Caenorhabditis elegans: one gene and its partners. The protein of the gene in region 1 purifies or fractionates together with the protein of each later gene. This does not show direct contact. Each region holds a gene or a part of one and is shown in the gene's direction. Other genes may lie near its edges. The genes, in order: sax-3, slt-1, syd-1 and eva-1.

The links.
Region 2: the proteins of sax-3 (region 1) and slt-1 purify together in Caenorhabditis elegans (affinity purification with western blotting; 2 studies listed by BioGRID, with this or other methods). This does not show direct contact.
Region 3: the proteins of sax-3 (region 1) and syd-1 purify together in Caenorhabditis elegans (affinity purification with western blotting, with the first as the bait; one study listed by BioGRID). This does not show direct contact.
Region 4: the proteins of sax-3 (region 1) and eva-1 purify together in Caenorhabditis elegans (affinity purification with western blotting, with the first as the bait; one study listed by BioGRID). This does not show direct contact.

Annotation. Positions count from the first base shown.
Region 1 is NC_003284.9:3,462,910-3,467,540, reverse strand, and holds the start of sax-3 (Protein sax-3), read left to right. Parts: upstream 1-1,613; 5' UTR 1,614-1,655; coding exon of another isoform or gene 1,656-1,685; 5' UTR 1,686-1,698; coding exon 1,699-1,771; intron 1,772-3,675; coding exon 3,676-4,031; intron 4,032-4,575; coding exon 4,576-4,631. UniProt on the Caenorhabditis elegans protein: Required to confine migrating sex myoblasts to the ventral muscle quadrants during their migration through the body and for multiple aspects of sensory, motor, and interneuron axon guidance.
Region 2 is NC_003284.9:14,672,431-14,677,372, forward strand, and holds the start of slt-1 (Slit homolog 1 protein), read left to right. Parts: upstream 1-1,897; 5' UTR 1,898-1,944; coding exon 1,945-2,090; intron 2,091-2,133; coding exon 2,134-2,205; intron 2,206-2,652; coding exon 2,653-2,724; intron 2,725-2,767; coding exon 2,768-2,839; intron 2,840-2,891; coding exon 2,892-2,990; intron 2,991-3,039; coding exon 3,040-3,147; intron 3,148-3,215; coding exon 3,216-3,360; intron 3,361-3,415; coding exon 3,416-3,576; intron 3,577-4,047; coding exon 4,048-4,119; intron 4,120-4,171; coding exon 4,172-4,243; intron 4,244-4,293; coding exon 4,294-4,673; intron 4,674-4,942. UniProt on the Caenorhabditis elegans protein: Functions as a ligand for sax-3 receptor during larval development. Acts via the sax-3/Robo receptor to direct ventral axon guidance and guidance at the midline during embryonic development.
Region 3 is NC_003280.10:7,591,900-7,596,639, reverse strand, and holds the start of syd-1 (Rho GTPase-activating protein syd-1), read left to right. Parts: upstream 1-1,727; 5' UTR 1,728-1,731; coding exon 1,732-1,807; intron 1,808-1,969; coding exon 1,970-2,073; intron 2,074-3,052; exon of another isoform or gene 3,053-3,331; intron 3,332-4,399; exon of another isoform or gene 4,400-4,545; intron 4,546-4,615; coding exon 4,616-4,658; intron 4,659-4,740.
Region 4 is NC_003279.8:14,829,330-14,836,760, reverse strand, and holds eva-1 (SUEL-type lectin domain-containing protein), read left to right. Parts: upstream 1-1,939; coding exon 1,940-2,063; intron 2,064-3,893; coding exon 3,894-3,920; exon of another isoform or gene 3,921-4,628; coding exon 4,629-4,731; intron 4,732-4,779; coding exon 4,780-4,912; intron 4,913-4,957; coding exon 4,958-5,237; intron 5,238-5,372; exon of another isoform or gene 5,373-5,490; intron 5,491-5,753; coding exon 5,754-5,879; intron 5,880-5,924; coding exon 5,925-5,992; intron 5,993-6,191; coding exon 6,192-6,321; intron 6,322-6,370; coding exon 6,371-6,496; intron 6,497-6,540; coding exon 6,541-6,717; intron 6,718-6,767; coding exon 6,768-6,886; downstream 6,887-7,431. UniProt on the Caenorhabditis elegans protein: Acts as a receptor for slt-1. Required for the guidance of the AVM pioneer axon to the ventral nerve cord.

The DNA of each region.
Region 1 (4,631 bases):
AGTCGAATGTGAGAGGAGGGCGGCCACGAATTGGAATAATTACTTAACCAGGGAAGGGGGCGACGTATAGCCCCGGCTATCCCCTCATATTCCATGCGGTTTCGTTCCGTATCGAGCCGCTTGCATGACATGGACATCCGTCATCGCCGTGCTCTTGACGCGCATTATTTAGGTTATTTATCTGACAATTATGAGCTTTCTGACGACCTTATTGAGTTGAGAGCTTTGATATGTTCTCGAGTACTTTCTTGTCTAGAATAAAGCGTATTGATTTTTCTTATTCGCCCGCCTGTTGCCAGATAGTTTATCTAATCAGTATTATTCAATCGCTGGCACAACATAAATCGATACTTGTCTCACTCCTCTTTGCGCGTTTATCTCCCCGCGCATTGCACACACACCTTGAAGAGGAAATCTGATGTCTAACATTCTGCGTCTACGCCTTCTAGCAATTCGTCTCAACGGTCCTCATTTTAAATGTTCTGCAAATGCATTTGTACTAAATTGTGATTTGTTTCTTTTTGGTTGTTAGAGAAACAATGAAAGCTTTTTGTATGTATAAAAATTTTGAACCATTTGGTGATGTTGAAAATCCGTTTTTCTTTTAATTTCAAGGTATTTTCCTAATTTTGGCCATTTTGCTGTGTTTGAAGTTTTTAATTTCCATGTTCAAATTGTAGCTATAGTTATTTTATTGATACTCTGGCAAAAATCAAATTTCCCAAGTAAAGTAAAACGCCTATATAGACTTGATGAAGTTCTACTTAGATTGAAACTTCAACGGATTCTTACTACAATCTTGCACAACTCCTGCGTAAAATAAAATTTTGCATAGCTTTTCGGGAGTCTTGTGCAGTTTGAAACAACTCCTGCACACTTCCCAATCTGCCACGAACTTAGTACTAAAGATTTTTTATATTTTTTGTCAGAGTAGGTTTCCTTTTTCAAGTTGCCTTTTCACTACACCAAATTTTGATTACGCCTCGCCGCATTTAAGAAAATCCTTTCAAAATCGACTTGTTCATTTTCTTTCATCTTCTATATCCATCCTTCATCCGTCCTTCTGCGCGTCATCTTTAACCAGTCTCACTACGTTTGCCTCCTAACTTTGCGTCCTCATTTTTTTTGTTGCTTGTCTTCCTGCTGGCTACTTTTGCCTCCCGTGCATTTTTTCTTTATTTTTTTTTGTCCAACATCTTCCGTCGCGTAGAAGACTAAATTTGTTCTTCATTCTAGAATGTGGCTCTCTAGTCCAATTTAGGGTCGGCTTCCGTCCGAATCGCTCCACCACCACCACCACCGAAAATGCGCAAAAACGGACGCACAAATCGTCTTCGCGTCTTGAAAACGACGACGACGACGCTCGTCAACTTTTCAATTACTTTGTTGTGTCTTTTCCTTTTTTCCTTCTAAATCTATTCTCCCGAGTGTCACCCTAGCAAAGATGAATGATTACACCCAGGGCCACGCTTTTTTCGCCCTTTTCCATCTTTTTCCCATCACCTATTTTGTCTTGTTTCTCCTTTTATATTCCCTCATTCTCTTTCCGTCATTTTGTCGCCCACTCTTAAAACAACCGCCAATAACTTTGATTACTTTTGTGTTTTTCTTGCAGGTGTCTCCCAACTGGAAATTCAGAACACCGCCACAATTAGATGCAGCCTTTGAAATTGGACACAGATTGAATAAAACAAGATCATGTTCAATCGAAAAACGCTGTTATGCACTATCCTCCTGGTATTGCAAGCAGTAATCCGAAGCTTCTGCGAAGGTTGGTTTTTTTTTTCTAGAAAAAAAATGTTAAGTTAAGAATGTACCAAAAGTGTCAAGTTACATGGTGAAAAAAACGCGTCGCCAACAAGACACGCTATTCGATCCACTCGTGGGTTTTCTTTGAATTCACTTGGAAACTTGGAAAATCCATTAGGTTGGGTTGTATTTCCCATGTCGAAGAAAGCGATTAAAACGAAGATTGACTGAATGCGCGGAAACGAATGCCCTCCATCTTGGAAAAATGCTCTTTACTCGCTGCTTTTTCTACTCTTGCGCTATTAGACATGACTCTTCATTTTGTCAAACACCAAAAGCGGGTTCGCTGCTTGGATTGTGAGCTCGTTTGCCGACTATAGTGTAAAAAGATTCGATTATCGTTTTGGACTGCCATCTGCCCTCTTGGCCGAGCCAAGCCCCGCTTTTGGATGGTAATGTTGAGAAAACAATAGTGAATAGGACGGGGGGAGAATAAATGGTATAGAAAATGAATGAGAGGAGTTAGTCTCATTGAGGCGCGTGTTCTCAAGTATTCACCATTCAAATGCTAATCTCTTAAAACAATAAGTCTTTTTGTACAGCGACCAGAGCCAGTGTAATTTGCAACGAAAATATAAGAAACAGTTGGGAGCGACCACCCGCAGACTCTCGATATTTGTCTTGTTCCACATTTCCACATTTCCACAATGTAATTTGTGCAATGTGCAAGTCATTATTCAATGTGATAAATTGCCCCAACCTGGGTCATTTAAACATTTTAGCACAGTTTTAAGATGCATGCGAATATCCGTAAAATTGAGAATCATTAGCATGCGGTTGATAGAAGATGAGAAGCTATTTGAAATCCCTCCCCAGAGACTAGTAGGTTATTAATGAGCTGTTGGCGCTGTCCAAAATATTCAGTTGCATCTCATGTTTTAGAAAGACAGCCTGCTTTTTAGCAGAAGCTTTCAACACCAATGTGTTGCGAAAGAATGACGGGCGAATTGTGAAATTGGGTGTTGACAGGATGAGATATGTGTACATCTTCACAGCTCTTTGGTTTTGTCTTGCCTATGGATGAAAAGGCGGGCAGGCAGCGTAGTATAATATTTTGAAGGTTAACACGGCCATTAAATTGTAGCCAGAGTACAATACATTGGTTCATGGATAGTTTACTCGCGTGCGCACATTTTGACACTGGCACGCTAGATTGTTGAAAGGTTAAAGAGGTGACAGAAGAGACAGAAGGACAGCCAGGCTAATTAAATTGTTGAATCCGGCAGCTTGTTAGCCACACTTTGGTCTGGTAATTTACTAGTGGAAAACAACAGTGGTCCGTATTTTGAAGTGGAGGAAAACAAGTCGGCCTGCTGAAATTTTTATTAAGTGTGTGCGCAGCAGTGTCAGGGTGAATGCCATAAACAAGTGATTCAAAATGGCTTTTTGATATTTTTTGAAGCAGATGGGAGAAGATGGGTAATCCGTCGGAGGTCAATGGCAATCTTATGTAATAGACCACCGACACCCAATAAACCAGCCGTTAATGTACTATCTAGGTTTTTACCACACTCACACACACACACACACATACATAAATTTTGATAAAATTCCTAGTGAATCATTTTATTACCTACCGTCCGTCAAGGACAATAGTGTCGCACATCTCTACTGAAAAATCGGTGAGGGAAGGTGTTCGTTTCGACACCATAATACAGATGTGACAGTATTGCGCGTGCCGGATCGGTCAGATTGATTTAATGCACTTGGACAAGTTTCCTTTCTTATTCACATTGTCAAGATGGATAAAATCAAAGTGTTGATGTATGTGGAAATAAGATGAATGGGAGATGAGGAAAGTAAAAAAAATTCTAACAGGGGAATGATGTTGTTTTGAACCTTTTCAAATCTTGAATATAATTTCAGATGCCTCAAATCTCGCTCCCGTGATAATCGAACATCCCATCGATGTGGTGGTATCTAGGGGATCGCCAGCAACCCTCAACTGTGGTGCAAAGCCATCTACCGCCAAAATCACATGGTACAAGGATGGACAGCCCGTAATCACGAATAAGGAGCAAGTGAACAGCCACCGGATTGTTCTCGACACGGGATCCCTGTTTCTTCTGAAAGTGAATAGTGGAAAAAACGGAAAAGACAGCGATGCGGGAGCGTACTATTGTGTGGCCAGCAACGAGCACGGAGAAGTGAAGTCGAACGAAGGATCGTTAAAATTGGCGATGCTTCGCGAAGACTTTCGAGTTCGGCCAAGAACAGTTCAGGTAAAGTTTAATACTTTGAATAATATTACGTATTTTTTCACTTAATCCTGCACTTTTCTACTTTGACAGTTTACCTTATAATCTCTATTACTGCGGCATTTCCATGGCTCAACCCTGACAGTTCGTATCTCGGTCAAATTGGATTTTTTGTAAAAATTTTAACTGAGCACAGTTTTGTTAAATTTCTCTGTAAATTTATTGTTTTTGAACTTCTTAATATCTTCAAAAGCATTCGAGACATATGCTGTCAGTTAAACAGTTGGGGTGCCGCACAAATAGAGAATAAAACGGCATATTCTGAGTCAGTTCAAATATGTCACCTCATTTTTTAGTGTTAAACTACAGAAAAAAAAAATTATCACTATTTTGTCAGTTGAAAATTTTTGGTAACCCCGAAAAACCGAAGATTTGGACCATCAATGTTACAAAAAACTTCATTCGTCAGTTTTTCAAAAACTGTAAACCGCACTGCACAATTTGTCAACGCGATTTTTAGACCATTAAAAAATAATTATTCACAGAAGCGTTACTCAATTGTTTTCAGGCTCTTGGTGGAGAGATGGCCGTTCTGGAATGCAGTCCGCCACGTGGATTCCCGGA
Region 2 (4,942 bases), about 11 Mb from region 1:
ATTTGGAAGAATGTGCATAATTCTTGCAAATGTTAATTTGCCCAATTACATATACTGCAACTTGTTTATTTTTCACTTGTTCTGGATGTTTAAAAAAATTAAAATATATTCATTATTCTTATACCTTTGCACAATTTTTTTTCTAACCACAACACTCTGAACTGACAATTTTTCTTTTACAATTTTTTTCTCGCAATAGTAACAAAAGCTCTTTTCAACAAACGTGTAATATGAGACAATTTATATAGGAAAAATGAAGCAGCGCGCCCTTATTTTTTGTTCTCCCAAATGTGTTCTGTTACTTTGATGAGTGGTTGTTGTTTTTCTTAAAATGGCACTACTGAGAAAAAATACCTTAACATTTATTTAGGTAGGAACCGTAAATTTAATATTTCCATTAATTTTTATTAAAAATGAAGAGTAATTCATAATGTTAGGTTAGGTATTTAAAGGTGATGTAGTGCCAGTGGGGAAGTTGTTAAAAACCATTCCTATGGTCCCAAAACGACCAAATATTATAATAAAAATGTTCAAATTGTTTTTTTTTGAATTTTTTTATTTACTGTCATAAAATGACAATAAACAGTTTTTGCCACTCATAATTTTGGAAGTCGACCAAAAAAAAATTTTTTTTCTACATTTTTTATATAATAATTTTGTTTTAATTATTCGCATTAAAACATTGTAGGGATCTGAACATGCGGCATTGCTTTGGATTTCCTCAAAAGTTCATATTTTTGGAGCACGGCCATGCACTACATGTACCTTTCTTTATATGTGGAGTACCGAAATCTGAGACTTTGTTATGGCCGCTCAACGTTTTTGAAAAAAAGTGTCTATTTTCAGCTAAAATCTCAACTTTTATCAACTTTTCGGTGTCACAGCGGCTGGAACTTAATTTTTATTTGTTGATCATTTTTTAGTGTAGGTCTTCGCAATTAATTACCTTAATTATGTCAATTGGGATGGTTTTTCGGTCAATGCGGGCACAAATATGATACAATTTTGTGCCCGCATCGACCGAAAAAGCATCCCAATAAACGAACTAAAAAGTTGCCAAAATTTGAGATTTTAGCTGAAAAATATACCATTTTTTTTCAACACTTTAAGCGGCCATAACTTTCTTTTGAAAAACATTCTGAACATCTCATTACGAAATTTGGTAGTTTCGGAGTCTTTTGGTCTAAAAAAGCAAAGTCTCAAATTTCGGTACTCCACCTTTAAAACAATTTTGAATCCCCCAATATCGCTTGTGTTTCTCTCGCTAATTATCCAAACAACGAGATTAATAAAGTATTAAGACGACTAACCAATGTGTGAACCCTCGCACATTTTCCCTTCCTCATCTACTTTATCATTCCCGATGAATATTAAATAAGTGCACATGGTAATAGTTAGTATACACACCCATCAGTATAGCTATCTCATCCATCCAATTGTTTTGCTCCGAGACACGAGAACAGAATCTCTTTATCATCATTGTGTTCAATGTCACCCGCCTACCCCATTTCATTCTCATTCTCATCCGGCACACACACACACACACACACACAAGTCTACAACTCTTCTTTTATCTGTCATTTGTGTTGGTTTAAGTGGTGTGTGGAAGATGCACGAAAGTGGGACTTGTCTTCTATCCCAATGTCTCATTATCACACTAAAACATTCGCTCTTTCTAGTTTTCTGCTGCTTCTCTTTTTCTACCCTTCCCGGAAAGTTTTCGTGTCCGTACCCACCCCTATCCCAACTCTTTTTTCCCTCACAACCACCGCCATTCCACACATAAATCGTGTCTCCACGAGGTTGTGTTAATGGACCGGCAGGATGGGAGGACAAGACAAACATCTCATAAAACATTAGTGGACCACCCGCCACTTGTCTAAACTTCATTTTGCAGAACTGAACTACTAATTTCATTGTCCCCAAGGATTTGTGGATGTCGGAATGCTGATTTGCTTCATATTTATTCTACTTATACCTGAAAGTGCCACGTGTCCGGCAGAATGCGTGTGCGTGGACCGAACTGTGTCGTGTGTTGGCCAACAACTCACAGAAGTTCCACAAAATATCCCGAATGATACAATTAGATTGTTAGTTTGCCATGGTTGAAAAAATTATAAATGTTGTTTACAGAGATCTACAAGACAATGAAATAACCAAAATCGGACCGAACGATTTCAGCAGTCTTATGAATTTAAAAGCTTTGTAAGTTTCACTTGGTGTCAGAGTGTCCCTTTTTGGTTTGATCTACGTAGGTCTAGTTGGGAGTTGATACGCAGGGTTCTCAACAGATTTCGCATGGTTAAGAACGTTCTGACGTCACTTTTTGTGGGCCAAAATTTCCAGCATTTTTTGTAGATCAAACCGTGATAGGACAGCCTAAAACCACTCGAATTTTAAAGTTGAACCATTTGAACACTTGAGATAATATCCCTAAGATCAGATCTTGTTTGGGAAAACTGAAAAAAACTCAACTAACGTCTAGTATAACATCATGGCTTCAAATTAATTTTTTTGGCGCAATTTCAATAGAGCAATTTTTGCGATATTTTTGTCGGTTCATATTTGCAACAAGAACACAGCCCTTCACTTTGAAGTACAGTAAATAAAACAAAACAACCCGTTTTTTTTCAATTAAATATTAAATTTCAGACAACTTATGGACAATCAAATTGTCACTATTCACAATCAAAGTTTTAGTTCTCTGGTATTTCTTCAAAAGCTGTAAGTTTCGTAGTCTTGAAAACCAATAAACTCTAGTTTTCAGGCGATTAAGCAGAAATCGTATACGCCATTTACCAGATAACGTGTTTCAGAACAATCTGAAACTTACTCACTTGTACGTTTATTCTTCAAAAAAAAATCAAATTAGTTATTATTTTCATTTTCAGAGACTTGAGTGAAAATGACATAACAGTGGTTTCTGACGCACAACTACAAGGTCCTGAATTTTTGGAAGTCTTGAACTTGGATAAAAATCATATCTTCTGGTAAGTTTTTTTCAATCCGGCTATTCTATTTTCCTTTCTCTTCTTTTAGTCTTGAGAACAATGTGATTTCTTCTTGGGTGTCTCTAGAAGTACTTACACTGAATGGAAACCGATTAACAACATTTGAAGAGCCCTCAAATGCAAGATTCCGACAATTGTAAGTTGCTTGTTTTTGTTTTCAAAAAAGAGCATACCATAGAATGTTTAAAGAAGTTTGCTTTTAAGGGACCTTTTCAATAATCCTTGGAATTGCGATTGCCGTTTGAGATGGATGCGAAAATGGCTAGAAAAAGCAGAGGGGCAGAATAAAACAGTTTGTGCAACTCCACTCAACTTGCAAGGGTCCTCGATAGAAATTCTCCAAGACAAGGTAAATTTTAACTTTGAAGGAAAAAAACGTTGTTAAATATTTTCCAAATTTTCAGTTTATGACGTGTTCCGGAAACCGAAAACGTAGATATAAGAAAACCTGCGAAACTGCGGAAATTTGTCCACTACCATGCACGTGCACTGGAACGACTGTAGATTGTCGGGATTCCGGGTTGACATACGTACCAACAAACCTTCCACCGTCTACCACAGAAATGTAAGTTCTTGTAAATTTTTTTCAAATGAATTGAATAGGTTAACTTATACATGAAATAGGGAAATTTTTGGTTTTATTTTGTGAAGCCTCCCGTGATTTTTGTTTTAAAGTGTTGAAAGTATCAGAGATGTGTGACGCTTTTTTTTTTGAAAATTTACAAAATTCATATTGCTCAAAAATTCCAATTTAAAGTACTTTTTCTAAAGAAAATAGCTTTACGTTTAATTAAAAATTTCGAAAAGTTGCTGTTAATCTGGTTAGAAGTTGCAGAATCTCTTAAAGTTTTTGAGCGTCGTTCTTAAAACTTAAAACTACATCAAGACAACGTATTTCTAGGAAGTTAACAATATTATCTATTTAATTGTCTTAGAAAAAAAAACATTGACTCAACAACAAAAAGAGAACCTGTAAACTTTCCAAGAGTGCCAAGAAGTGTCAAAAAATGTTCTGAAAATTTTTCTTTTGTTTCAGAAGACTCGAACAAAATCAGATTTCATCAATTCCCTCTCACTCCTTCAAAAATCTGAAGAACTTGACACGACTGTAAGTTTATTTTCATCTAGCGTCTTCAGTTTTTGCATCTTTCTGATTTCAGAGATCTGAGCAAAAATATAATCACTGAAATCCAACCGAAAGCGTTTCTCGGTCTTCACAATCTGCACACATTGTGAGTTCATTGGTGTCACTTTTGTTCGAACTCATCAAATTGTATTCCAGAGTGCTCTACGGGAATAATATAACCGACTTGAAATCGGATACTTTCGAGGGACTTGGAAGTTTACAATTATTACTCCTCAATGCCAATCAATTGACGTGCATTCGGAGGGGAACATTTGACCATGTCCCGAAGTTGAGCATGTTGTCATTATATGATAACGATATCAAGTCAATCAGTGAAGTAACATTTCAAAATCTTACCAGCTTGAGTACACTGCATCTTGCCAAGAATCCACTGATTTGTGATTGCAATTTGCAATGGCTGGCGCAAATAAATTTACAGAAGAATATTGAAACAAGTGGAGCAAGATGTGAACAACCCAAACGGCTGAGAAAAAAGAAATTTGCAACTTTACCGCCAAATAAGTTCAAATGCAAAGGTGAGATCAAAAGCAGGAGCGTTGCTTCCTGAAAAAGTTAAACAGAATCTGCGCAATTAGATAAGACAAATGAAATAAACCCGTAGAATACCGCTAATCTACACAGTTTGCCACAAAGCTTTGAACAAGGCTTTTATGCAGGCGCGAAAACACCTTCCTTGCCTCCTGTATAACTCTGCGCGAAACCCGAAAACTGTCGGCCGCTTTGAAAGAACCGCCTTTCGCCATATGTGGTGCAAACACCAAGCCTTTGACGTGAGGTTTGCAGG
Region 3 (4,740 bases), on another chromosome or scaffold:
AAATTCAAATTAATAAGCTGCAAATTCTGTGAAAATATAAAACCAATCATTTTATTGTTGACTTTAAAGTCTTTAAAAAAGTACATTCATGTATCTTAAACCTACAAAATAACTCACTATGGAGGTGCATATACGAGTAGAGGAATCAACTACCAAAAGATAATTATGTAAATCTGAAATTTTTTGTTAATGAACAAAAAAATTAATGCAAACTTTTTTTTCTGTAAAGTTGACCAAATTCATTTTGACATTTTAACTGTGGGGTAGCGGTGGTGGGAATTTGATGCAAATAAACTGATGAAAAAATTTAAAATCACTCAAAATCATTATAAATTTTATGAAAGTATTTAGATTTTGAAAATGTTTAAATCTTGGTTAAATGCCAAATTGACTTAAAGCTGTGGCTCTTTGAAAAATTTTCAGCGTTTTCGCGTGGTTGTACCTGGTTCTACTATGTATATATGCAAATACAAGTAATTGAAATAAATGTTTTTCCGAAAAGTAGTACTATGGCATTTGGTCATGTTAGAAATATATGAAGGTTTTAAACAACTTCCCAACCGGCGATACCTTCAAGTAAGTGATTAAAAAAGTAGCTAGTAATACAGAGCTAAAAGGGCTAAAAAGGCTATTGGAAAGAAAAACTCGTAAATTTAAGATCTTCAATTTCAAAAGTACACAAATATCTCATTCAAAAAAAAAGACTTCATTCTCCGATTTTACGAAAACTCATTTTTCTAGATGCGCCCGAAACATCCATCACTTGGCTTTTCAGATTCTTCCCATCTTTTCTTCGATTTTAGTTGAAAAGCTGAGGGCTCATTCGATTTCGTTCAAACTCCAATTAAACGATTTTCCGATTCAAATCGATCATTGAACGGACATGAGAGAATTATGTAGTCTCGTTCTCATCCCATATATTCAGTTCCTTTTTCATTTCTTTTGTTTTCTCTCCATTGCCCGCATATCCAGTCAGTCTCGCCAATTTCCATTGCTCCAAATTTCCTGCTATTATTCATAGTATACGCCATTTTCGATTCGGTTTTTCACTAAACAACGAAGAGGAGAAGAAGGTCCCTCCTTTTATTGACTTTTCGTTAAATACTCTGAAACGTGTCATCAACCTTATAATTTCTCATGTTTCATTTGAGTCCATTTTGCATTTGAAATGTTTTATGAGATGTCATCTGTCTCTTTTGTGTCACTATAACAACATATTCTAGATTGAGATTCTTATTCTCTTGTTTTTTTTGTTTCATTCTGTTTTAAACGCTGTTTCATATCCTCTCCATTGTAGAAATAGAGGTTTGGCTATTAAAAACTGTAATTGAAAAATAAATGGCATTGTTTTCCTTTTCAATAACCGTTAAATTACCTTTTAAAGGTGGATGAATTCCGTTTCAAATGTGGGGTAGTATAAATGGAGGATTTTTTAAACACTAGAAATTGTCCAAACTCCGAAATATCATCAAAAACGAACAAATTCAGAAAGAATGAAAAGTTAAACTTTTGAAAACTTGTTTTTTTTAATTCGGCAAAAATTGTCTTTTTGAATTTTCTTTAAAATGAGATGCCACGCCCACCTTCAGACCAAACTTCTAACTTCGTCGCACACTTCGTCTGATTGGCTCTTACTGAAAATTATTGAAAACTATTTTTTGAATAAATGTTTTCAATTATAATTCAAACATATGACACTTCTATTGCTTCAAATTAAATATGTACAGAGTTATGCTCATATCCACAAGTTTAAAGTTCTTGACAATGTTAACATCCAACGGATTCGGTGGCACCAATCCACCAAAAGGTATGTTTGGTAATAAAGGAAGGGTCAATGTTCATTTGGATATATGTCACCCTTATAAATAAATAACGTTGTGCTCATTATTGTTGACTGACCCCCAATAATGTGTGAATAAAAATGAAAGCAGACTTCCGGAAGAACAATAAAATTTATATTTCATTTCAGGAATGCCATATCCACCAACCTACCTTTACACAGAAGAACCACAAAACGAATGTTGCTGCTGTTGGTTATGCAGATTACTGTGTTGTTGTTCTCCAGTCGATCAGGTATCTCACTCATCAGTTTCTTTTCTTTTTATTTATTTATTTCTGTTGTGCATGGCAGGCGGTCGGAAAAAAAAGTGGGGAAACTCGATTGCCGTAGTTCTTGAGAAATTCAATTTCGATGGTGTCTAATCTTCTCGCATCAGTGCACTCTTTCCCTTAAAAGAGGAGAAAAAGAAGAACTACTTTCGGCTCGAACATCCCGACAAACCTTTTTCCCCTCAGCTTCTCAATACCCAATTCCTATGTTTCTTCTCGTGTATCCATAGAATCAGTTGCCACGGTATAAATCTTTATGCGTTTTGTTACTACTACCTTCGTTTTTTCTTCTTTTCCTGTTTTCTCACTTATATTTATTTTTCTACAAACATGTATTGTTGGAAAACTCAAAATCCTGATGAAGGTGAACAGGTAAAGTAAAAAAATGTTTTAATTTCTGAAATATGGTTTTTGATGTGTCTTATGAAAGTTGTTGAACTTGAAAGCTGAACGAAGACTGGAAAAGGAACAGTTGTAAAAAATTCCAAAATGTTGTGTATATATTTAAGGAGATCCTAATACCACATTTAAATTTCGAACTAAATCTAGAATTCTTTCATTACAACAAAACAAAGTGTTTTAATCAGTTTCTTTATAATGGTTAAATATAATAGGACACAATGAATTGAAAATCATTGCCATAAGTTTGAAAACTTTCAATTAACCACACATATATATATTAATTAATATGTATGTCTTAGAAAGTGTTTCAATGTGATTCAAGTTCTAATATATATTCTCATTCGTCTTCTATGGTAATCCTTGATGTGGGTACATTTTAAATATAATAATGAGAAGTCTTTGCGGAAGAAGACGAAGAGGGTCGATGTCGTTTGGTGTGAGCTGAACTTGATTCGAAATCTACGGGGGGGGGGACGTCGTTTTGTGCATGAGCAACGAAAGAGCATGTCTCCCAGAGAGTGACTCAACAGCGGCTACTACTATGGGAAACAAGAGGAGAGATGGAGAAGTATAAAGAAGAGGACGAAGAAGAAGCTAGTAGCCGTTGGCTCAACTTGGTCCGCTCTATCTCCCTCTGCGTATCACAAATTTCTATGCCGTCTATCTGAACTGCGCGGAGACGAGAGAGCAACGGCGACTTGTGTGTGTATATGTGTGTGCCCACTCGAAACTAAAAGGAAACGAGATCGATAGACGGATGGCGACGAGGCCACCGACGAAGCTCCGACGAAGAAGGAGAAGCCGTCGTCGCCATCACCAGTCTCTTCCTTCTCCATTCCATCGCCGTTTTCTTCTTCTTCTACTTCTTCCCTCATTTCTTTTTTCTATTCCACTAAGTTTTAGACACCGCAAGTAGCAGTAGCAAAAGGGCGTCGGGAGCTCACTGATTTCTTTCTTTTTTCTAGTCCCCCTCTTCTGCTCTATTTTTTTGAATGAATGCACACTCGGACTTCAAGTCCCCCGTGAGAACATTAGCTAATCCCTGAATTTTTTGGGTTAAGTGAAAATGTTCGAGTGGGGGTAAAGTGTTTTGAACCTAGATTATGAAGACACACCAGAATAAATTGATGTAAACGTCTTGTGAACTATTATAATCTAGAAGTATGCTGGAAAATTTGAAGTTGATATACATACATATAAAATAATATCCTGTATATTTTCTAATTTAAATTCCTTGAACATTATGAACAACTAATATAAAATTAAAAAAAAACTGTTCTCAAAGTATGATAAAAATGGTGATTTCCTATTAAATTTGTACCCATATTGCTCTACTCTGACGGCTTGTATCTCGAATGCCTTTGGTTTTATTAACAAAAAGACATCAAAATAAAGATCTGAACATTCTTTTGTGAAAGATAATCAACTTTTATCAACTATTCACACAACCCTTTTTTCTCGAAGAAACTCAAAAAAATGTATTTAAAGTCGAATAAAATTTCATAACTTTATTGCTAGATCCATTCACTTTTAACGACTTTCTGTTGTCTCTCACACTTATAGCGGTTTTATTTGCGTTTCTGAAAGTGAAACCATTTGAGTATTCGAGTATACCCGCGTATTTGTTTTCGAAATTCATCCTGGACACAAAACAACAGCTTTTCCATCTGCTTCCTGAAATTATTAGTTCTCTCACTCTCCATTCAACTCTCTCTCATTCATTTCCTTTTTCTGCGCTATTCGTGAATAACATCATTGCTCCTTTCATTCAGGAACTTCTATCTGCCGGTTTTCTTTTTGATAAACCAAAAAGTTTTGGGAGATTGCAGGACTAGCCACGCGAAAAAGGACCCATTAATTTTTGTGTGTAGTTTTAGGACTCTCTATCTCTCTATCTCTCCATCTTCCTCTATTTCTACTTTCAATGTCCTTTCTAACCCAAAGCATTCATTGCTCGGACTCTGGACCGCCCGTTGTGCCTTCATGTGCATGTAAGGGGTACGCCAACCACCCCCACCAAAACTCTTTCGTGTTTTAAAACATTAAGTGTTCAATAACGTTGCCACTATTAATCAATTTATTTATTTAACGTTCTATTTTTCAGACCGCCTCACGCAGTCGCATGAATGCCAGTCAACCGCCTCCCGGTGAGTCTTTGAATTTTTGTTAGACGATTTAAGAAAATATAGGTTCTCAGCAGAAAATACCCATTAAATTAAATTTTGAACA
Region 4 (7,431 bases), on another chromosome or scaffold:
TTGATCAGGGGTGGACGGCAAATCGGCAATGTGCCGAAAAAATTGAAAACTTCTTGCAAATTGCCAATTTGCCGAATTTGCCGAAACTTTTCGGCAAATTGTGGTTTTCTACATTTTTTTTCGGAAATTCCAGAACTTCAATTTCAATGGGAAAAATTGTACGCATCCTATGAATGTCCCTACGCCTTTTTTGAAAAGTAAGCGAATTCTATGAAAATATCTAAAGAAAACGGAAAAAATTTCAAAAAGGTACAGTTTTAAGTGTTTCCCAATTATAAAAAAATCCCTCTAAACATTTCCGGCAAACGGCATTTTGCCGGAATTGAAAATTTCCGGCAAATTGGCAATCCGGCAATTTGCTGATTTGCAGAACGGCAATTGCCGCCCACCCCTGATATGGATGTTTATGCAGATTTTTTAAAATACATGCGTTTGTTTTTGGTTTTCAAAAAAAATTATATTTTAAGAATAACATCTGATATTGACAAGAGCACACTTGTCATTCACATTCCCTTCTTTTATTTTATTTTACATTTAAACTTCTATTCTCATCGCCGTTTCCCGTCTCCTTTGCAGCCAACACTTGTGAGCTCAGAGACTAAAATGCACGGCGGCGGTGCGTTTCTTTTTCATTCATAAAGCCGTTTTCTCCTGAATCGTCGGCATGTGTCTGAAAATCCGATTACCACTTTTTGAATAGAAAATGGAATGGGTGAGGGGGAAGGGAAAAGGGAATCGAACAACAAAGAGCGCAACGGATTACCTTCACGAATGCTTACTATATGATTTTGGATTTCCTATGGTTTTAAGGAACAAGGACTAATAACCAATTTTATTCAACCATTATGGCAGAATGGTATTTTCATTATAAAAAGTCCAAAATATTTGAAATTCTGAATTTAATTTCCATGTATCTTATTAACAGTTATTTAATACTCTTTTACACTAGCTAAAATATATTCTGGTCAATACATAGATTATGCCTCACTTTCCTCACTATTCTCAAGTACTTACTCTCATTTGCATACTAATTGACTATTGTCATGATGTTCATCTCTGTACTACATATTTCAAAGGATGAGTACACCACTAAAGGGCGAAAAAGGTTAGCTCATCCCCATGCTCCGCCTGGGGCGATTAGGCTTTTGTTGTACTGCTGGGCACCGAAAGCAACTTGGTTTTTCAGTTTCTCACGCTGAAGTCTAATAATTTGCGGGACTATGGGCAGGTGTACATGAAATTAGGGAGAACAATAGAGGAGTTTTGTAATTGATGAATTTGTAATTATTATTAGAAAAGAAATTGGTGAGTAGGATAATTTGACATTTTCCCCCAAAAAATAAGTATATTGGTTTTATATCTAACTTTGTACAAAATGTGTATTAAACATTTTTCATGTGTGCGACAAATTTCCAAACTTGCCGAGCTCGGCAACTTCGGCATATTTGCCACACACCCCTTATTCTTATCCTTGCCTAGTAACCAACTTTTTGCTGATCTTCTCCGAAATGTGCATTCCATTCGATTTTATTGTGTACAACAGCAATAGGGTGTGTACTACACTCACAACAATTTGTCCCCTCCTCCCAGTTGCCTCTCCCCCAAATATCTTCCCAACACCTGCAACATCAAGGCGGTGCTCCGGGAGGAGAGTAGTCAACTGATCTCCTTTTCTCCATTTTTTGTTGTTGACAACCGTTTTTGACACCTTCAAATATGATTATCGTTCTCTCAGTTCAGTTTCGGCAACGAGGCGTGGCTTGGGAAACCCCACCCCCTTTTTGCATGTCCCTCTGCTTCTTCAGAGTGTCCCGTTTTCTTTTCGTCAAGGCTGACAGCTAACCTATGTGATTTTTGTTCTCATATTGTTATTGTCATACTTTTATTTAACTTTTCCAAGGAGTTAAAAATAATTTTACAGCTTCCCATGTGAATTGTCATGAATATGCATATAGTTTCCCCGGTTTTGCTCTTATTTTGGTTTGGAATTATCGTAACTGATGGTAAATTGAAAAGCGGATTTATTGGTGGATCACATCATCATGAAGTTAATCCAATCGAAGGTTTGTTTTTTTTTTTTTCTACTTGAAACTTATACTTTCCCAGCCTTCTTCCTTTTGAAAGGCGTTTTTTGAAGTAGAAACCTATCGCTAAACGAACACATTCATCACTCATCAAGATGATGATCTATTCGCGCCGTCATTTTTATTGCGTAGCTATTATTATACCTCGCATGATGAGTTGAAATTTGTAGGTCAGAAATTTCCTAACTTCTAGTATTGAATTCATCTTCTTAAAGGTATTGTCTAAATACACTTATAATGATTAAAATTTTGAAAAATATGAGCTTTTGAGGAAATCCAATGTGTCGCATGTTTCCACCCCTACAACTTTTTGATACAAATAATTAAAACAAAATCAAAGTATAAAAAATGCAGGAAAAAAAAATTATTCTGGTCCACTTCCAAAATTATGAGTGGAAATAACAGTAATTGTCACTTTTTGACAGTAAATAAAATATGTTCAAATAAATATTGGAAAGTTTTATTATGATCTTCGGTTATTTTGGTACCATTGTAGTAGTTTTTTAACACTTTCCACACTGTTGCTACTCCACCTTTAATAACAAGGGGCTTGAATAAGAGTAATTCAAGTACAATGAAATAGAGTTCGTCGAAAATTCGAAACCTCCATTTCCTTTCCGAAGATCTCCATTAGCAACAATTCCTTTTCCGCCCTTGCGTTCTACTGCTCTAGCTCCAAGAGAGGCCCCCCGTAATTCCATAATTGTATAAAGTGAGTGTGTGTCCCCCTTCACCCGTTTATCCCTTACCCGGGGGGTCTGTTGCCTTCCTCTTTTCCGGATGCATAGCAGCAGAAGGCGTAATAAGCATAGTTAAGTGCACAATGTTATAAACAAATGTCTCTTTTCTATATCTAGTGGGTCATGACATGAACATGATGATGATGAAGAGGAGTATCCACTCAGCTTCCTCTAAACAAAATGGACATCATCTTCGAGAATTATTGAGAATTTCAAAGTTGGGATGTTGCAATCGAATTTTACTACCACCTTGTAAAAATAATAAACATTTCGAAATCCTCCCGTAAAAAAGTGCTCATTCAGCTTCCGAGCCCCCCACAACATGCGTGTCGAGTGTGTAAAAAGAGAAAAGCTCGCCCGCTGCTCTCAGAGCAACATTATCACCACACGGAGAGGGTTTTTACGTGGTCATGCTGAGAACCCAGGGAGCTAATGGCTATGTATCAATTGACAGCTTCCGCGAGAGCAGAGAGCTCAGCGGTAAACGAGAAATAGAAAAAAAAAACAAATGAAACTAAATGTCAAATCATGAACGTTATTACGAAAAGAAAATGTTTAACTATAGCTTGAGATTTTATTGAACGTAATTTTGGCAAATTCCTTATTTTGTTCTGATTGGCAGCAGCAGATCCGTAGAAATACATAAACATTTTGGCAATTCCAATCCATTCCAATACTTGAAATACGAGCCCATTTCCATTTGCCACCGGAACATGCCTCCTCGGTTGCTCTCTTTGCGTGAGAGCACACCTGCCTTTTGAAGCAGCATAACTTTAGCTTGTGCTGAATTTACGTGGGAAAATGCGGAGGGACACCGCAAAAGTTACTTGCTAAACTTACTAAGCCTTAGAAATAACCCAACAAACTCTAAATGCCAATAATTTATTCTAAAAATTTATTTTAATGTAGTCGATTTTGCGCAAAAAGATATATATCATAGCAAATGAAAGATGCACATATTTAATAAGTCATGTACTACGGCATTCGACAAGAAAATTTATATATATATATATTCCAAAACAAAAGTTTATCTGAAAATTTGCAACCCCACAAAACCGATAATTTTCAGCAGCTCTACTTGTTCGGGCTCGCCTGGGTAGGTTTCGCATGCCGCTGTTTTTTCCAGTTCACTAAGCACAGCGCATAATTGGAACTGATGCTTTCTTATTTCTTAAGAAGCCAGATTGGATATTGCCTGTTCTCCTCTCTGTTAATTGCTAGGTGTCGTTTTTTAAAGAGAAATCAAGGAAAAAGAGGAATCAGCAAGCCGCCAGCTGCTGTTGTTCAAGATATTACTAATTGCTAGTTGAATTGAAAAAGGATAAGGTGGAATGATTTGCTTGGAAATTAAAAGTGAAGCTTTGCTTATTGTCGATAAACATTATTATTTGCTCACAAGATGTATCTTCGAAGATTCGAAACTGTGCTAGCTGTTTAGGGCAAAACTTGAAAGTGCTGAAATAATTTAATATGGTAACTTTGTTCAAACTAATAGCAATTCATAGTTCAACAAGGAGTCATGGTCAGTTTATTCCATTTTTCGCAAAACTTTCACACACACTTATGCCCAAAGTATCGGACGTTTTTCAAAAACTTTATGGGGGTCCATTTTATGACCTCTCTTTTCTTTCGCACGCTGACACCGACTAATTCACTCCGTTTACTCAGTCACTCTCAGTTTTAGTACCTGGTGACCTTCACACCAGCGAGTGTGATCGAGAGGGACCGAAACGAAAACGAACCGCTTTTTTCTAAAAAATTTTTGCGGAGGAATTTAAAATCAAAAATACAATCATTTTTGCAGGAATCCTCAGAGAGTCACTTCGATCCAATAGAGTTCAAGCTTGCGATGGAGAACGAATCACGTTAAGCTGCCCAAGAAATACACAGATTTCTGTACAAACCGGGTTTGTAAAATTATCAATCTATCCTAGATTCATTCAACAAGTTTTCAGGTTTTATGGCCGCGTGGTCCCAGAAAACCAATTATGCCCTCCACAGGCTGGAAGAAAGCATTCCGAAGCTAATCTAGATCCATTATCAATGATCCATCACTCAAGTACTTGTGATGTGATACAAGCTCATACGGTAAATCAATGCCAAACACTCGTCAATTGAAATCATAAGTTTCAGAGAATATCGGAACTTTGCGATAAGCGCCGAAAATGTACAGTTGTCGTAGATTCAAACACATTTGAAGATGATCCGTGCCCAACAACTTCAAAATATCTTCAGATGGCATATGGTTGCATTCCAATGTCTTTCGATGAGGAAACATTTTGTACTCCAAAGCCCACTGATCCACCTCGTCCAGAGATTCGTTTAGAGTGTAGGGAAGGTAGACGGTTGGCTGTGTATTCCGCACAAATGAAGACATCGCCTCAATGTGATCCCGAAACCGAAATTAGACATGGTAAGTTGAAAAGTTTTTAAAGATATTTTGTCAAACAGAACCACAAAGACCAATTAAACAAATTATGCTTTCTGATAAAATGCAGAGCTTGAGGTGCTTCACCTTTTCTCTATTTCCTCTTTTCTGATACTTTCACTGTTTCGCAATTGTTCTCATTCTTCCCATTGTGAGTTGATGACACACATCCAATTAGCCTCATCTTCTTCTTCTATCCATTCCATTGAGCCTCCCGATGAGCTAAAAGTAAGATAGTACTGGTTAGCAAGAGACGTAGCCAGAAAACACTCTGACAATTGTCTTCTGAAGATCCGGGGCTTTGGGTTCAAAATGAAATGGGATGGTGGTGGAGGAGGAACACACGAGAAGGGTGAATACTAAAGTAGGATTTCCGTTTGGTACGAATTGACGGAAAATGGGAAAGATGTCAAGACTCTCATTGTATCGAATTTTTTGAAAAACTATAGTGTGGAAGGAAAAATAGAATTATCGTTTACTATTTAATCAAAAAAATTTCAGAATGCGTCTCAGACGTCTTACCTCAAGTACTTCGTCAATGCCACGCCAAGGAAGGGTGCACACTAAAAAGTGATGGCATAAAAGGTCATTGCAGACATGGGCATCTTCATGTCGTTTATGTTTGTGGTAATAAAACAGATCAAGTTTAAGGATAATGTAGAATATTTTCAGTTAACGAGGAGATATTCTCAGAGGAGGCCATCAAAGGCGAGCTGACCTCATTGGAAACTTATTTGAAGGTCCGTCCGGTTAATTAACATTTTCGATTAAAATTTAACAGCATACGCTTCAGTAATAGTATTTCCTCTATCATTAAATCATACAATACTTTTTTTAAAAAAGATGGCGCAACTCTGTTAGATGGGCAAAACTAACAGAAGTGCCATATTAATAGAGGGCACGCTGTTTTTGAAAACTGTTTCTCAAAATAATTTTCAGGAAGCCGACGCAATGCAAAAACAGGATGACGAACGATTTTTCAAGGATGTCAATGATAAGACACAGTGGGAAAGAGTGGTGGATAGTGAGCCGGCTAAGGATCCCGATGTACATCAAATTGCTAACGATGGTATCGCTTTTTTTCACTAAACTGATATTATATAACTTTCAATTTGTAGCTTCCTATGTAACCCATGACGAGTATCGAATGGAAAAGCAAGATCCTCCTCCAATAACGGAAAGAGTGGAACCAAACCTAGTGGGTGTTGGGCACGATCTTCTTCAAGTTGTTCAGTTCTTTAAAGGTATGAGTTTCAAATAATTCTCAGAAAATCATCCTAGATTTCAGAAAACAAAGAGAAGGCGGTCATGTGTATTGTGTTAGCCGTGAGTATGGCTGCAATTGTTGTGCTCTCCGCGTGTATCATCACTCGACTGTGTTCCTCAAACAAGGATAGTTCGAGGAGCTCAAGGAGAAGCAGAAGTAGAAGGTCACTGGAGACTAGCAAATTGGTGTCAAGTAATTGTAAGTACTTTACAACCTTTACATATATTGCAATTTCGCTATACCTCTAGATGGTGGCTCAATCACTCCACAGCACATGATGCAAGACATTGAAGACGAGCAGTTCCTCCGATTTTCGATGGGTTCCGCAGCAACATCCAATCCACATTATAGTCACTATGATTTTTAAATCTAATTCCTCTCACATCCATAACTCTTGTCTTACTTCTACGGGTTCATCTAGTCACTTCTAATTGTTGGAAATCATTGCTTTCGATATAAAAATTGTTTCAGTAAAACATTTTAAAGTCACAAATAATGATTCAGTTGATAGACACATTTTAGCAAATTCAGGGCGAATTTACACGTCAACTGAGAATAATAAAACACTTCATTTTAACATGGTGCATCGCAAGGCAGTATCTTGCTTAAAATATCTGGCATTGCCGACGAGGATATATTCGAATCAATTAAAGACGATGCAATCCATTGCTGATAGTTGCTACTCTACCTTCAACATTGACTTTTATCCAAATATGCTTTACAGTTGTTCGGTATTGTATAGACATTGCATAGAAAATAAAACAATTTATAGACCCATTCAGAGCCAGAACAGAATGTAATGCCGCGTCAAGATTCATAGGTAGGAAGCTGAAACAAAAAACCATGTAGTTTTTCGGTAGACATAGTCTTAACACTCACAAAAATCCCAGATCAGGGTAGATGAATGAGAAA